Linked DNA regions of Schizosaccharomyces pombe. The gene in region 2 interacts genetically with the main gene of each other region. Each region holds a gene or a part of one and is shown on either strand. Other genes may lie near its edges.

Region 1 (6,246 bases), on a different chromosome or scaffold from region 2:
GTGCTATCTTCAAAATACATAATAATTTCAAAAAAGTGTAAAAGGTTAGAATTAACAACAATTAGTAAACAAAAATTTTATAGGAAAATGAGATTTCAGAAACAAAGTTCCACTAATGCATTAAGTAAGGGTCTCACACAAGTGGCCTTAGTGGGATAAAAAGTCTTTAACGGAAGAAATCGGGCCTTTTCAAATTAATTCCATATTCATTAAGAGCGGCACTTAAGTCATCTACAGTGAGCACGGTTTTTCCACGGTCACCTCTTCTTCCGCTAGATCCAATCCCGGAAGCGCCTCCGGCTCCAAAATTCTGCGCACCAAACGTAGTTGAAGATGCATTGCTACTACCGGTTCGGATTTTAGAATATTGATAGGCGTCTTGAGCAACATCAGAAATAAATTTTTGAGCTGTAAGACCAAGAAGCTTTTTTAAGCGTGGGTCAACACATTTAAATCCAGATAAACTGAGGTAATAATCCAATAACACATCTGGAATTAAGGGAGAGTAATCATCCATTTGGGCCAAGAAATTTTCAAGTGTTTTGTCTTTGGCCATATCTCGCAATTCTAAATGCGGTTCTATAACATAATTCGAGCCATGCCTTTCTCTAGAATCATCGCTTTTGGGAGAATCCTCGTTATTTAAATGTGCAGGGGATTCTACACTCATTGGGGCGAGATTGTCACCAGTTGGCAGATTTGTGGAAGACGTTTCGGGTTGTTCATCAACACTCATCGAATTATTTCCATCTTCTGGTTCTTGCTTGGGCTGTTCAATATTTTCAGCTGGCTCATTATTGTTAATGTCACTCATTCTTTCTTTATTTGACCGATGTTGTAAAGCAAAGAATGTCTTTCTGCAACTTGATTCAAATCCGTGGTTCCTTGATTTATCGTTCGACTTATTGGAAATAATAGGAAATTTATTTCCCTAGCTTATGGACTTAACTTTTAATACTTTAATCCAGTGTTTCAAGAAACCACTAGGCCAACTAAAATAGGGATGGTGGAGGTGGACTATATTCTGTATTCGTGGTAAAGTAGCATTGTTATTTACGTATATAAGGGCTAAGATCGAAAAGTAAATAATTCCAATTCTTGGAATAATGCTAGTTGAATAATAGAAATTAATATATAAGATTAATTAACTTCTGGTAAAAAGTGTTGTTTAAAATCGGTATTATATAGAGTTCGGAGCGAAGTTGGTATCTACTACAATTTTTGCTTCTATAAGCAAATGTTCAGTTTAGAGTTGAATGGCAGCCTTCTTGGACTTGAACATATGTATTCAAAAGTAATTATTATTCTCAAACTACAATGTTATTCATTTGCTGAGATGAGCATTTTAAAGTTTGCGCAAACATGACTTCCAGTTAATATGTGTTTAAAACAAATAAAAAAATTTACTACGCAAAGAAAGGATATTTGAGATTAATTTGGTGCACATTTTTTATTTCTCATAACAAACTACATAATCCATTTCCCCATACTTTACCAATAATGTATTGCTAAGCCAGATCAAAGCTACATTAGATATCACTACTAATTATTGTTATTTTCATTTCAAAACTGTCGGATCCATACTACTGATCTTTAATGATCAGGACGAGTAAAACATCTTTAGGAAAATACAATTATTGAAGAAATATCTCAACCGAACAAACTACCCTTTCCTAGTTCAGTTGTAAGTTAATACAGTAAAATATAAAATTATATAGTATATTATATCTTAGCCTTCTTAAACAAATATGTAACCGCTGTACTAAACGAACTCCATAAAATTATACTAAATTACGAGGTAGCATATCACAATAATTATATCCTTATACTAGTTTACAAAGTATACTCAAACAACATTAAATCCTATAACGTATTCCTAGTAAATTGCTTCTTATGTTTAAGGAGGATATCTTATTGTTTAATTGATCGCTAAGCGATCCTTTTTTTATTTATTTATTATAGTTCTCTCTGATCATTAATTCTCCAGCTATGCTTACCTTTTTGAAGTATCACTTCTTCGTTTTTTTATTTCTTATAATTACCATTTATTATTATTTAGTTTCTCACACCTGTTTAAAGCGCTTGTCGAATCACCAAACACAAATAAGCTGTTTTATTTCACGATTGTTTTTCTCGCCCTGCACTTTATGCTTTGTTTGTTTCATAGTTTTTCCTTCATTAAAAAACTTCTTCACTGAAGTATACTGCTCATAGTGAAAATATAATAACAATTGCTTTCCACATGTATATCACATGTATTGTGTACTATGTACGCAATATGTCTCAAGATGTTCATTACTTAGCCACCACCAATTTGTGGTTTTCAAGCTTGAGCTAGTATAAGTTAAAAGAATCACACTTTTTACTTTCTAATTTTTTGAAATTTCCTTTAAAAAATTTCATTAATTGTGTTCCACAATTCCTGCTTTAGAGATATCACCACTCAACGTCTGTTTATTGATTGAAAGCTTACCTTTCAATTACCATTAAATTTGATTCATTATTTAGAAAGATTGGTATCAAAGCAGGTTTGTTTTTTGGTAATCTTGAAACCTCCTGTTTCCTAGTTCTTTGTGTTTCTTCGTGCCTTAAAGTTTGTTTAGGTTCTTATGCATCTGTGTAATAACCAGTTGCTTGATCATCTGGATTGCAATGCAGTTTACAGAGGCTATGTTTCACAAGAGAATAAGGTAAAGAGGAGAAAGCGGCTGTTTAATGCAATTCGTAAACTATGGAATGAAAGAAGGCGATATCGAATGCCAAAGGACGAAAGTATCTCGCCAACTCCAATCTCTTATTCATTTAGATCATTAAGAAGAGGCCATACTAGTGGGCATGCTAGTGAACACACTTCTTCTTCAAGATCTAGTCATGATGAATCAGATTCTATGTCCAGTTCTAGTGAATCAGACTCGGATTCTGTTTCCAGTGAATCAAATCCCAAATCTTATTCAGATTCTAGTACTAGTTCTGCAAGGTCGTCCTCTACTTCTGGTTCAATCTCCTTGTATGATGATTATTACCCTGCTTATTCCAGCAATGCTCCAAATACTGCAATATCTAATTATGTTAGCTCTGGTCTTTCATATTACGGAAATTCATCTATTATTATGAATGCTGTCGAATACAATCAGTTCTTTCCGCTAACCATAACTACTCTTATTGTTAAAAACAACAAGAATGTTGTTTCAAATCTTCCAAAAAATGTCTCATTTTACTTCCACTCTGACAACACGGTCCTTTTGAATGAGTATTACAAAAGCTTGTCTAAACTGAAGAATAATTTTCGTGGAATTATATATAAAACTACTCCTTATGGTAGCTGCAATGACACCGAGTCACTTCAAGTTGATACCAAGGGAAGCGTATGGTTTAGAGATGTTTCTAATATGGGAAGTTCTGGCTTAATCGCATTCGCGCCGTTTGACTATTGTGCTCCAATGCATGTATTGCAGGCTGTCCAGGATAGAGCAAAGGCAATACTATTTTATAATGCAAGCACTGCTAGTAATTCATTAACCAATTTTGACCACTTTGAAGATGCTGTAGATATGATTACCTTTGAAACATTACCAATGGCACTCATATCTTACGAAAACGGCATCGCTTTTGAAAAGATTCTCAACGAATACTCGGCTTCTTCTTTAAATTCGGTGCAGGATGGTGGAGCATTAGTCGAATATTTTGGAAACATTGATGCTACGGCCCGTTTGGGCGTTATCATCAGCAAGGAACCAAAGCTACTTGGCCTCTATATATTCATTGGTGTGTTATTGGGTTTAATCGGTGTCATAGGCCTTTTTATTTGCCTTCACTTTTCTGGTGCAATGAATGGATTTTATAGACTCTTAAATCGTCATGGAATTCCTGTTCAAGAAAGAATTGTGAATATTGGACCAAACAAACCAGAAAATCGTGTTACTAAAGAAATGCTCGATACTTTGCCCGTTAGAATGTTTTCGGGGCCTCATCTTGCCAATCCTAATGATGAGTTGGTTTATGAAAAGGATTGGAAATTAGACAAATCAGAAAGTTTTGATGGACAGGGAAATGTGGTTACTACAGCCGAAAGAGGGAGTAAGTATTTCGATCAGAGGGAGTGTACTATTTGCTTGTGTGAGTATTCAGAAGAAAGTCCTCTTTATCGAGAACTGCCATGCCATCACATCTTTCATCCGGCTTGCATTGATCCTTATTTATTAAAAAATTCGGATCTTTGTCCCCTATGTAAACAGTCAGTTACAAACATGTTGGAAAATGCTTCCGAGGACAATGTTTAAACTGCATATTTATGAATTTTCTCCATTGGTTGAGTAATTCCTGTACTTCTACTCATAAGGATAATTTTTTTTATAATCTATATTAGCATATTTTGTTCGACTCTCATTCATTTACGTTATAATATTTTGCTTGTCTTTATACGCATACGCATACTCATACTTATTGTTCAGTTCTTCCTACGACGAAGAAAACTTACGCTTCCTTAAGTTCATAATTTTCTTGCATCTTTTAATGGGCTAATTATCTATTTCTCATCGTTCTAATCTATTATTTGTGTTATCGTATGAATTCTATAGTACTATATAAAAGCTTACTATACATGTCATTGTTTACTATAAAAAGTTTAATACACATGTTGCTTGCTAGTTTATGATGAAGGTACAAAAAAACTATTAAGTATTTTACAAATTAGCCGGTCTAATGCTAAATTGCATATGTAAATATTTTTTTCTTTTCATTTAGAGACCTATTTTGATATTCTAAGAAAACGATATACAGTTATAATAATTGACATTTTTGGATTTGAGAAAATTAAATACTCTGAATTGTGTCTCATAAAATAGAAAAGCCATCAGTTTCTGCAATGAAGCCTTAGATAACTCCATTTTACACATTTATGCTCAACCAACATAATTCTTACATTTTCCAAATGGAAAGAAAATTTGCCTGTCATTAAGCAGATATGTGAAAACCAACTTTCTGATATTTCATTTTTGATACTTTCATTAATCTTTGAGACGTTTCTGAAATTTGGTTCCGTAATTTAACCGTGAAACTATGTTAACAATAACCTCAAGATGGGAATTCAATAAGCGTTTATCAGGTTCAGCAAAAAATTCGTTTAGAGAAGTTTCAATAAAGCGACGTAAAATACTTAAAGATGCCGAAACGTAAACATTTTCAAAATATACTGTAAAGTTGTCAAGCTTTGCTTGTCCAACTGATACTCTATTTTCGACTTTAAGGCCGCACATCATTAGAAGCTGGCGAAGAGTAACCATAGTAGTTTCATTAACATACTCACTAGCTCGAGTGGAAGACATCATGTTCGTGTAAGCAACGAATTTGGACGGCATGTTAGGTAACTCAGACCTATTATTCACCGATACATCTAAAATTCTAACACGCTTGTTGGTACTCAAGGTTGACCACTGTCTTTTTTCGTAATCATACCTTAAAATGTTTGGATACAGAGATGCAGCAATTACGCCACACAGAATTTCTGCATTTCCTGAGTTAATATCATGCTCTTTGGGGATAACGGCAAAACGCCGGCATATTGAACGTTTTAGGCTTTTGCAAGTATCAACATCCGAAGCGCCTAAAAGTTTCATATCCTTCAACTCAGAAAGCAGTTGGATTTTTAGTGATTCTGTCATACTTAAAGCCTCTAAATTTAAGTACTTTTCTTTGGCAAAAGAATCTTCATCAGGGCCTAAAGGTGAAAGGCAAATCTCTCGCCAAGCGCAGTAAGCATAATACATCAAAACTAAATCACTCCTGGTATTCTCCTTAGCGAATGATAATCGGGCTTTGTTTGCAGAAAATTCATTGTCAACAGATTTCCTAAAAGGTGAACCGATTGTTAACATGGCTACTATTGAAGAAGCGGCATCTACACATTTGTAGAAGCATCCCAAAACCAAGATTTTTCCTAAATTTGCATCAACAGGTAATTGCGACAAAAATTTGCCGAGTTTTGTTAATTTTTCGTTTTCAGAGAGCGCTCCCACTTGATGAAGCTTTTCTAAAGCACGAATAATATTGGTAGAGGAAGGTGGATCTAACGCCTTGCCTAAGACATCTTGTACATCACCCATTTGGCACATCTTTACTCGCAAAACAACTTCTTGCAGATTAAGTCTCAGAATTTCAGGTGTCTGGTAAGACAAAAATTGGGTATCATGTTTGAATTTTGAGAACAAATGATAGCAGATACCTTCCTGAACACGACCAGCACGTCCA
Region 2 (5,987 bases):
TAGGTCGAGTTATTCGTGTCGCGTTCAATCCTATCGATTGGAAAACACTCTACAATGCGTCGATTGAAAAAGGCACCGTTGGCGGAACCGACTTCGTGGCTGTTGTGGAAGATGTTGGAGAAGGCGTCGACAGATCGAAATATATCGGTGCCACTGTTAGTGGGTGGGCTCCTGGTCCTTTAGACGGTTCTAATGCTGCTTGGCGTGAATACATCACTCTTGATGTAAATTTGGTGTACTTTGTTCCCAAGAATATTACACCTTCACAAGCCGCTACGCTTCCTCTAACGTTTACTACTGCTTCGCAAGGACTTAATCAGTACCTTGGTCTTCCCTTGCCTCCCACGGATGGATCCAAGAATTCCGCTCAACAAAAATGGGTTTTAGTATGGAGCGGGTCATCTAGCGTAGGGCAATACGTGGTTCAACTTGCGCATCACGCTGGTTATAAGGTAATTGCTACTTGTTCGCCTCATAACTTTGACTGGATTAAGAAGCTAGGTGCCGATTTCACGGTTGATTACCATGATCCTAACGTGGTGGAGATTATTAAAAAAGCAACTGATGACTCTGTCTTTTATGGATTTGATGCCGCCAGCTTCCCTGAAACTAGTACATTAGCGGTTAAGGCATTTAGCTCAAAGGTAAAAGATGGTAAACTCATCAACATTTTATCTTCACCCCCTTCACCTAGGTCTGAAGTAAAAATCATTGGAATCATTGATTATTCACTTTTCAACCGGGAGTTCAACTTCTTTGGTAACAAGATAGAACCAATTCAAGCTAGCTATGATCATGCTGTTGAAGTATACAAGAAATTGACTGGCTGGCTCCAGGAAGGAGTAATCATCCCTAATCGTGTAAAAGAATTTGATGGTGGATTGCAAGCTATTCCTAAGGCTTTACGTGAGTTTGCCTCAGGGAAGCACAGTGCCGTAAAGTTTGTGGTTCGCATTGACTAAAACGGCACTTTTGTAAATTTTGAAATGACTTATGTTATAACTTGACCTTGGCAAGAGATAGAACAGGCACATACTCTTACATGTTTTATTTGTTGATTGACGTTACTTAAGGAACAAGCTTTTCGTGGTATTATTTTTTTTTATGCAACCTGCCTATACAAATAACACTTCGATAAGCAAAGATGAATTTTTTTTATAATGTTTTACGAATACTAATTGTTTTATCTCTACATCCTTTAGATATAAACAATGATTGTACTATATTCTGAAATGCTACACTGCTCAAATCAATGTATTTTGATAAATTCATCAATTTATACTTTAGACATAAAACTAGCTTGTAAAGCAATCCTGTACATGTTATAACCAACGTAATCTTTATTGTGAAAAATTGAAAATTTCAGCAAGATACTTGTCATAACCAAAAAAAATAAAAAAAAACCAAATTATTAAACAGAAATAATGAAGCTATAAATAAATATGATCAATTATGTATTCTCTTCTAAGTAACCTTATTATTGTTTTCAAAACTCATCCTGCTTTTCCTGTTTTATATTTGAACCCTGAGTTACAGGTTCGTCCATTTCCTGAGCGTATATAATCATAGGTTTTGACTCTAAAGTTTGGCCTGGAAGTTGCTCTTCTAACTCAACAAAATCCATTCCTCGTAACTCTTCTTCAAAAGATGCACGAATATGAAGGCCCGGTACTAGATCTACTAACAGACATATGATAGCTGTTATGACGAAAGACCATGCAGCAACAGAGGTAAAACCTGCAAATTGATAACCCATTTGTTTCCAGTGATGAACGGCCCAGCCCCCGTCTATAACTGTAGCGCCATCTGAGGCAGCGACATCGGGATGCGCTACTACACCGAGCACGATGGAGCCAACAATGCCGCCGATACCGTGTAAGTTAAAGACACGAAGCGTTTCATCAACGCCAATCCATTCATTGAGGTCATGAAGAAAGTTACATACCAATGCCGGTACGATACCCCCAGCAGCGGCTCCCCATGGAAATACAAATCCACAGGCTGGTGTGATACCCACTAACCCTGCAATGGCACCTTCGCAAATACCTATAGTGGAAAACTTTCTATAACGGATGTAATCAATAATCGCCCATGTCAAAGCACCAAATGACGAGGAAATGAGCGTGTTGGTCATGATATAAGCTGTACGAATATTAACAGTCAATAGAGTACCAGAATTGAAGCAGAGCCATGCAAACCAAATCAAAACAACGCCAATGTAAACCATACCAGCATCATGCGGAGGATTATGAGCTATCTTTCCTCTGCCGAAGGAATTCTTCCAGGAAACAGATTTGAACCCAAACCACCGCTTCCAATTAGCTTTGCAGTTGTTTTGGGAAGACGACGGTAAATCTGCATTATCGGTCGACCGAATTGAATCGGGTCTGTCTGGCTCGTCGACAACAATGCGACGACCTAAACATAAGGAATAAGCGAGCGCAGCAAAACCAGATGAAATATGTACGGGACCGCCGCCTGCAAAGTCAAGGGCACCCAATGTGTAGAGCCAGCCATTGGGTGCCCATGTCCAGTATGCCTGTGGACAATAAACCAGCGTAATGTATAAAAAAGATATTACGAGAGAGGGAATTAGCCTACCGCGCTCAGCCATTGCCCCGGCAAACAATTGAGCTGTCGCTACAGCAAAGAGACCACCAAATGGAAAGTAAACAATTGCTGGAATTGTGGACCCTGGTATATATGGTTCTAACCAAAGATGGTTCATCCCTCCTTGCCACAACGTTCCATAAAAAGAGGACCCCGATGAGCAAGCAAGAGAGTATCCAAACAGATACCATTGAATAAACACCACTGCTGTAACCAAAAACGACTGAGTCAATATTGAGAGAGCCGAATTCTTTCTAACCATCCCAGCATAATAAAGAGCTATACCGGGGGTTACGGTAAATACTACCACTGTACTCAAAAGTACGTACGCTATATCAGCATTTGAGTATTCGTTGGGAAACAGTTCTGTTACAGTCGCGATAGTGGAGTTTGCGTCGCGACGTAATAGCGCATTCGGCTCGTTAAGCATCTTTTCGTACACGACAAATAAATCGTAAATCAGTCGTAAATTATACCGTACGTCACAGTATCGTACGTAAACAGAGAGATAAATAGAGGATAAGTAAAGAAAGTCTGTGAATTTCTTAATTGATCTGTAAACTAATATGTAGAGAAGTTCTTATCTCTTTACCAAAAAATCACCTAAAGTTATCAATAGTAAAAGTAATTTTCACTCTTTCTCAATTGAATCCGATTCACAGATTTATTATTTAACGATATAGAACCACTTTCGGTAAACCAACGTTATTTGGCGCCTTAAAACGTCTTATTGTATTCTAAGAATGAGATGCTGTATATTTTAGTGTAGTATGCTATCTTAAAAAACATGTAAGCTACGCAGTTTGGTATCTGATTTAAGGATACGTAGAACTGCGGTGAGTTTTCCTTGTGATCTATTATATTACGATACACAGGTTGTATAAGTAGCAACTGAGTATAGGTATTGTATTAACTGGGTTATAATGTTACCTATCACTAATATAGCTCATAACTGAACTGAGGAACGAGGTTCAGCAGTAGCTCTATTTATAGTATTCAGATAATATTGATCTTAATAGATTATCATTAAGATCAATCTCCATATCGTATCATACATGGTACGATATATAATTAGAACATGTGACATATAGTGATACTCAACGTAGTGTATTATAGCGTAGTGTAGTATTGCTGACATTGCCCTCCCCAAGATTTTCTATGTAAATCTGAGGATAAGTCATATGTTCTCAGATATTTAGATTATTGTTTTTAATATAATCATTGACAATTGCTTTGTCCGCTTGTAGCGCTGTAGCTAATGTAGTCCATCCTGACATAATAGTACTCGGATTTAGATTCGAAATGTACTTGACATTTAAGTAGAGTACTTGTTCTCTGTTTTTATGTTCTAGGATATGAAGAATTGTTCCAATATCAGACTCATCAATGGTAGCGTAATTGAGTTCTGAATTATGTCGATACTTTTCTAGGTGAGAAACATGAAAAGTAGATGAAAACATGTGCTTGATTGAATCTGGAAGATCCAATTCATAGTTGTTTGGACCCGACTTCTGTAACACATAGAACGGTCCTGCAAAACTAGGTGCTAATTTATTGGATTTATGAAGAAAACCTGTTTTCGTTCTTTTGACCATAACTAGGTCTCCAGGTTGAAATTCTTCAATTTCTTGTATTTTCATATCGAAATACTTTTTCATCTTTATGTTGTTTGTATTCAAGTGTTCTTTAACTGTTTGAAATACTTGGATCGTTTCCTGAGAGTTTTCGTCAGTTTTGTCACTAAAGCTAGGTAACTCTAAAGGTGATAAAGCTGGTGAATAGCGATGTACTATCTCAAAAGGTGTCATTTGAGTTGCTGAATGTATCGCATTGTTGTAAGATTGTTGCACTAGGGATATATGATCTACCCATGTATTTGGATGTGTGCTACATACACATCTTAGTAATTTCTCCACAGTTTGGTTTGTACGCTCAGTTTGTCCATCAGTTTGTGGTCTGTATGGTAACGAAAATTTCATAACGAAATTATATTTATGTGCGAAATCTTTCCACGTTTGGGAAGTAAAAATATGATCATTATCTGCAATGATTTCTTTTGGATTGCCGAAATAAGCAATAACTCGTTGATCAAACATTCGAGCTGTTTGCTCTGCTGTAATGGATTTCGTACAAGGTACTAAGATTGCCATTTTTGAAAATCGGTCAACTACCACGAAAAGTGCATTATAACCAGATGATTCTGGTAAAGCTGTAATAAAATCCATTGATAAAGATTCCCAAGGTCTTTCTGATGGGGGAATTGGTTGTAAAGGTCCATAAGGTTTATGATTCCTAGATTTGTTTATTTGACATGTATGGCAGTTCTGTACATATTCTTGTATTTGTTTTCTTATTCCTTTCCACGTAAATCTACGTAATATAATGTTTGTAAGAAGTTCAATGCCTGGATGAATCAATTTACCTTCTTCATGATACTTTTTAATAATTGTCCTAGTCAGCTGAGTATCATTAGGTAATAAGATTTGGTCTTTACTGTTAATTAGTAAGCCATCTTTGAGTTGGATATTCTCTTCCACTCGTTTGTCTTCATTGTTTAGTAAATTCAACAATTTTGTATCATTCGTATATTCTGTAACCACTTGGTTTTTAAAATCATCGGTTATCGAGATTTGATTAACAAAGTTGATACTATTGTCTTCTGAATCTTTTGGAATTGGTTCTGTTTCGTCAACAATTCTGGATAAGGCATCAGCTATGTGATTTGCTGATCCAGGTCTGTAGTTAATTTCAAAGTTGAAGTCTTGTAAAAATAATTGCCAACGAGCTAAACGTTTGTTTTCAGGCTCGGATTCGTTAGTAATGCGACCAATTAAGTTTCGATGGTCTGTTAAAATTTTGAAAGGTTCGATAGTGGATTCTAAATAGTGTCTCCAATGTTTGAGAGACTTAATGATTGCAAGCATTTCTTTGTCCGATACGCTATAATTTAATTGTGCTTTAGACATCTTTGCTGAATAGTATCCAACAGGATAGTATTTATCATCATCATGTTTTTGAGACAATACGGCTCCTACAGCGACATCTGAAGCATCAGTTTCCAGTAGAATCTTTTTACTGAAATCAAAGTGTCGTAGCACCGGAGGAGAAACTAAACATTGTTTAATGTTTTCTATCGCTTGGGTTTGTGTTGGTGTCCATTTCCAGCGTACATCCTTTTTCAAAAGATTATTGAGTGGATGTGTTAATTGTGATGTCTTTGGAATGAATTTCCTAAGATAATTGACAGAACCTAGAAATTGTCGTAATTCTTTACGATTCTTAGGTTGCTTCCATTGTAAGACTTTGTCTATATTTTCTTGACAAGGCGTAAATCCTTTTTCCGAAATGTGATACCCTATAAATTTTACTTGTGATTG

What was found.
Region 1: mutations in amt3 (region 2) and SPOM_SPBC15C4.06C together harm fitness less than expected from each alone (positive genetic interaction), as found in Schizosaccharomyces pombe (one large-scale study listed by BioGRID).

The regions. Positions count from the first base shown.
Region 1 is NC_003423.3:2,249,770-2,256,015, reverse strand, and holds SPOM_SPBC15C4.06C (ubiquitin-protein ligase E3), read left to right. Parts: upstream 1-2,305; 5' UTR 2,306-2,609; coding exon 2,610-4,280; 3' UTR 4,281-4,605; downstream 4,606-6,246. Other genes in the region: SAGA complex/transcription factor TFIID complex subunit Taf10, read right to left, coding at 167-814; dhx29 (ATP-dependent RNA/DNA helicase), read right to left, coding at 5,007-6,246.
Region 2 is NC_003424.3:2,923,407-2,929,393, forward strand, and holds amt3 (plasma membrane ammonium transmembrane transporter Amt3), read right to left. Parts: upstream 3,041-5,987; coding exon 1,487-3,040; 3' UTR 1,286-1,486; downstream 1-1,285. Other genes in the region: SPOM_SPAC2E1P3.01 (dehydrogenase), read left to right, coding at 1-962; Tf2-3 (retrotransposable element/transposon Tf2-type), read right to left, coding at 3,798-5,987. UniProt on the Schizosaccharomyces pombe protein: Transporter for ammonium to use as a nitrogen source.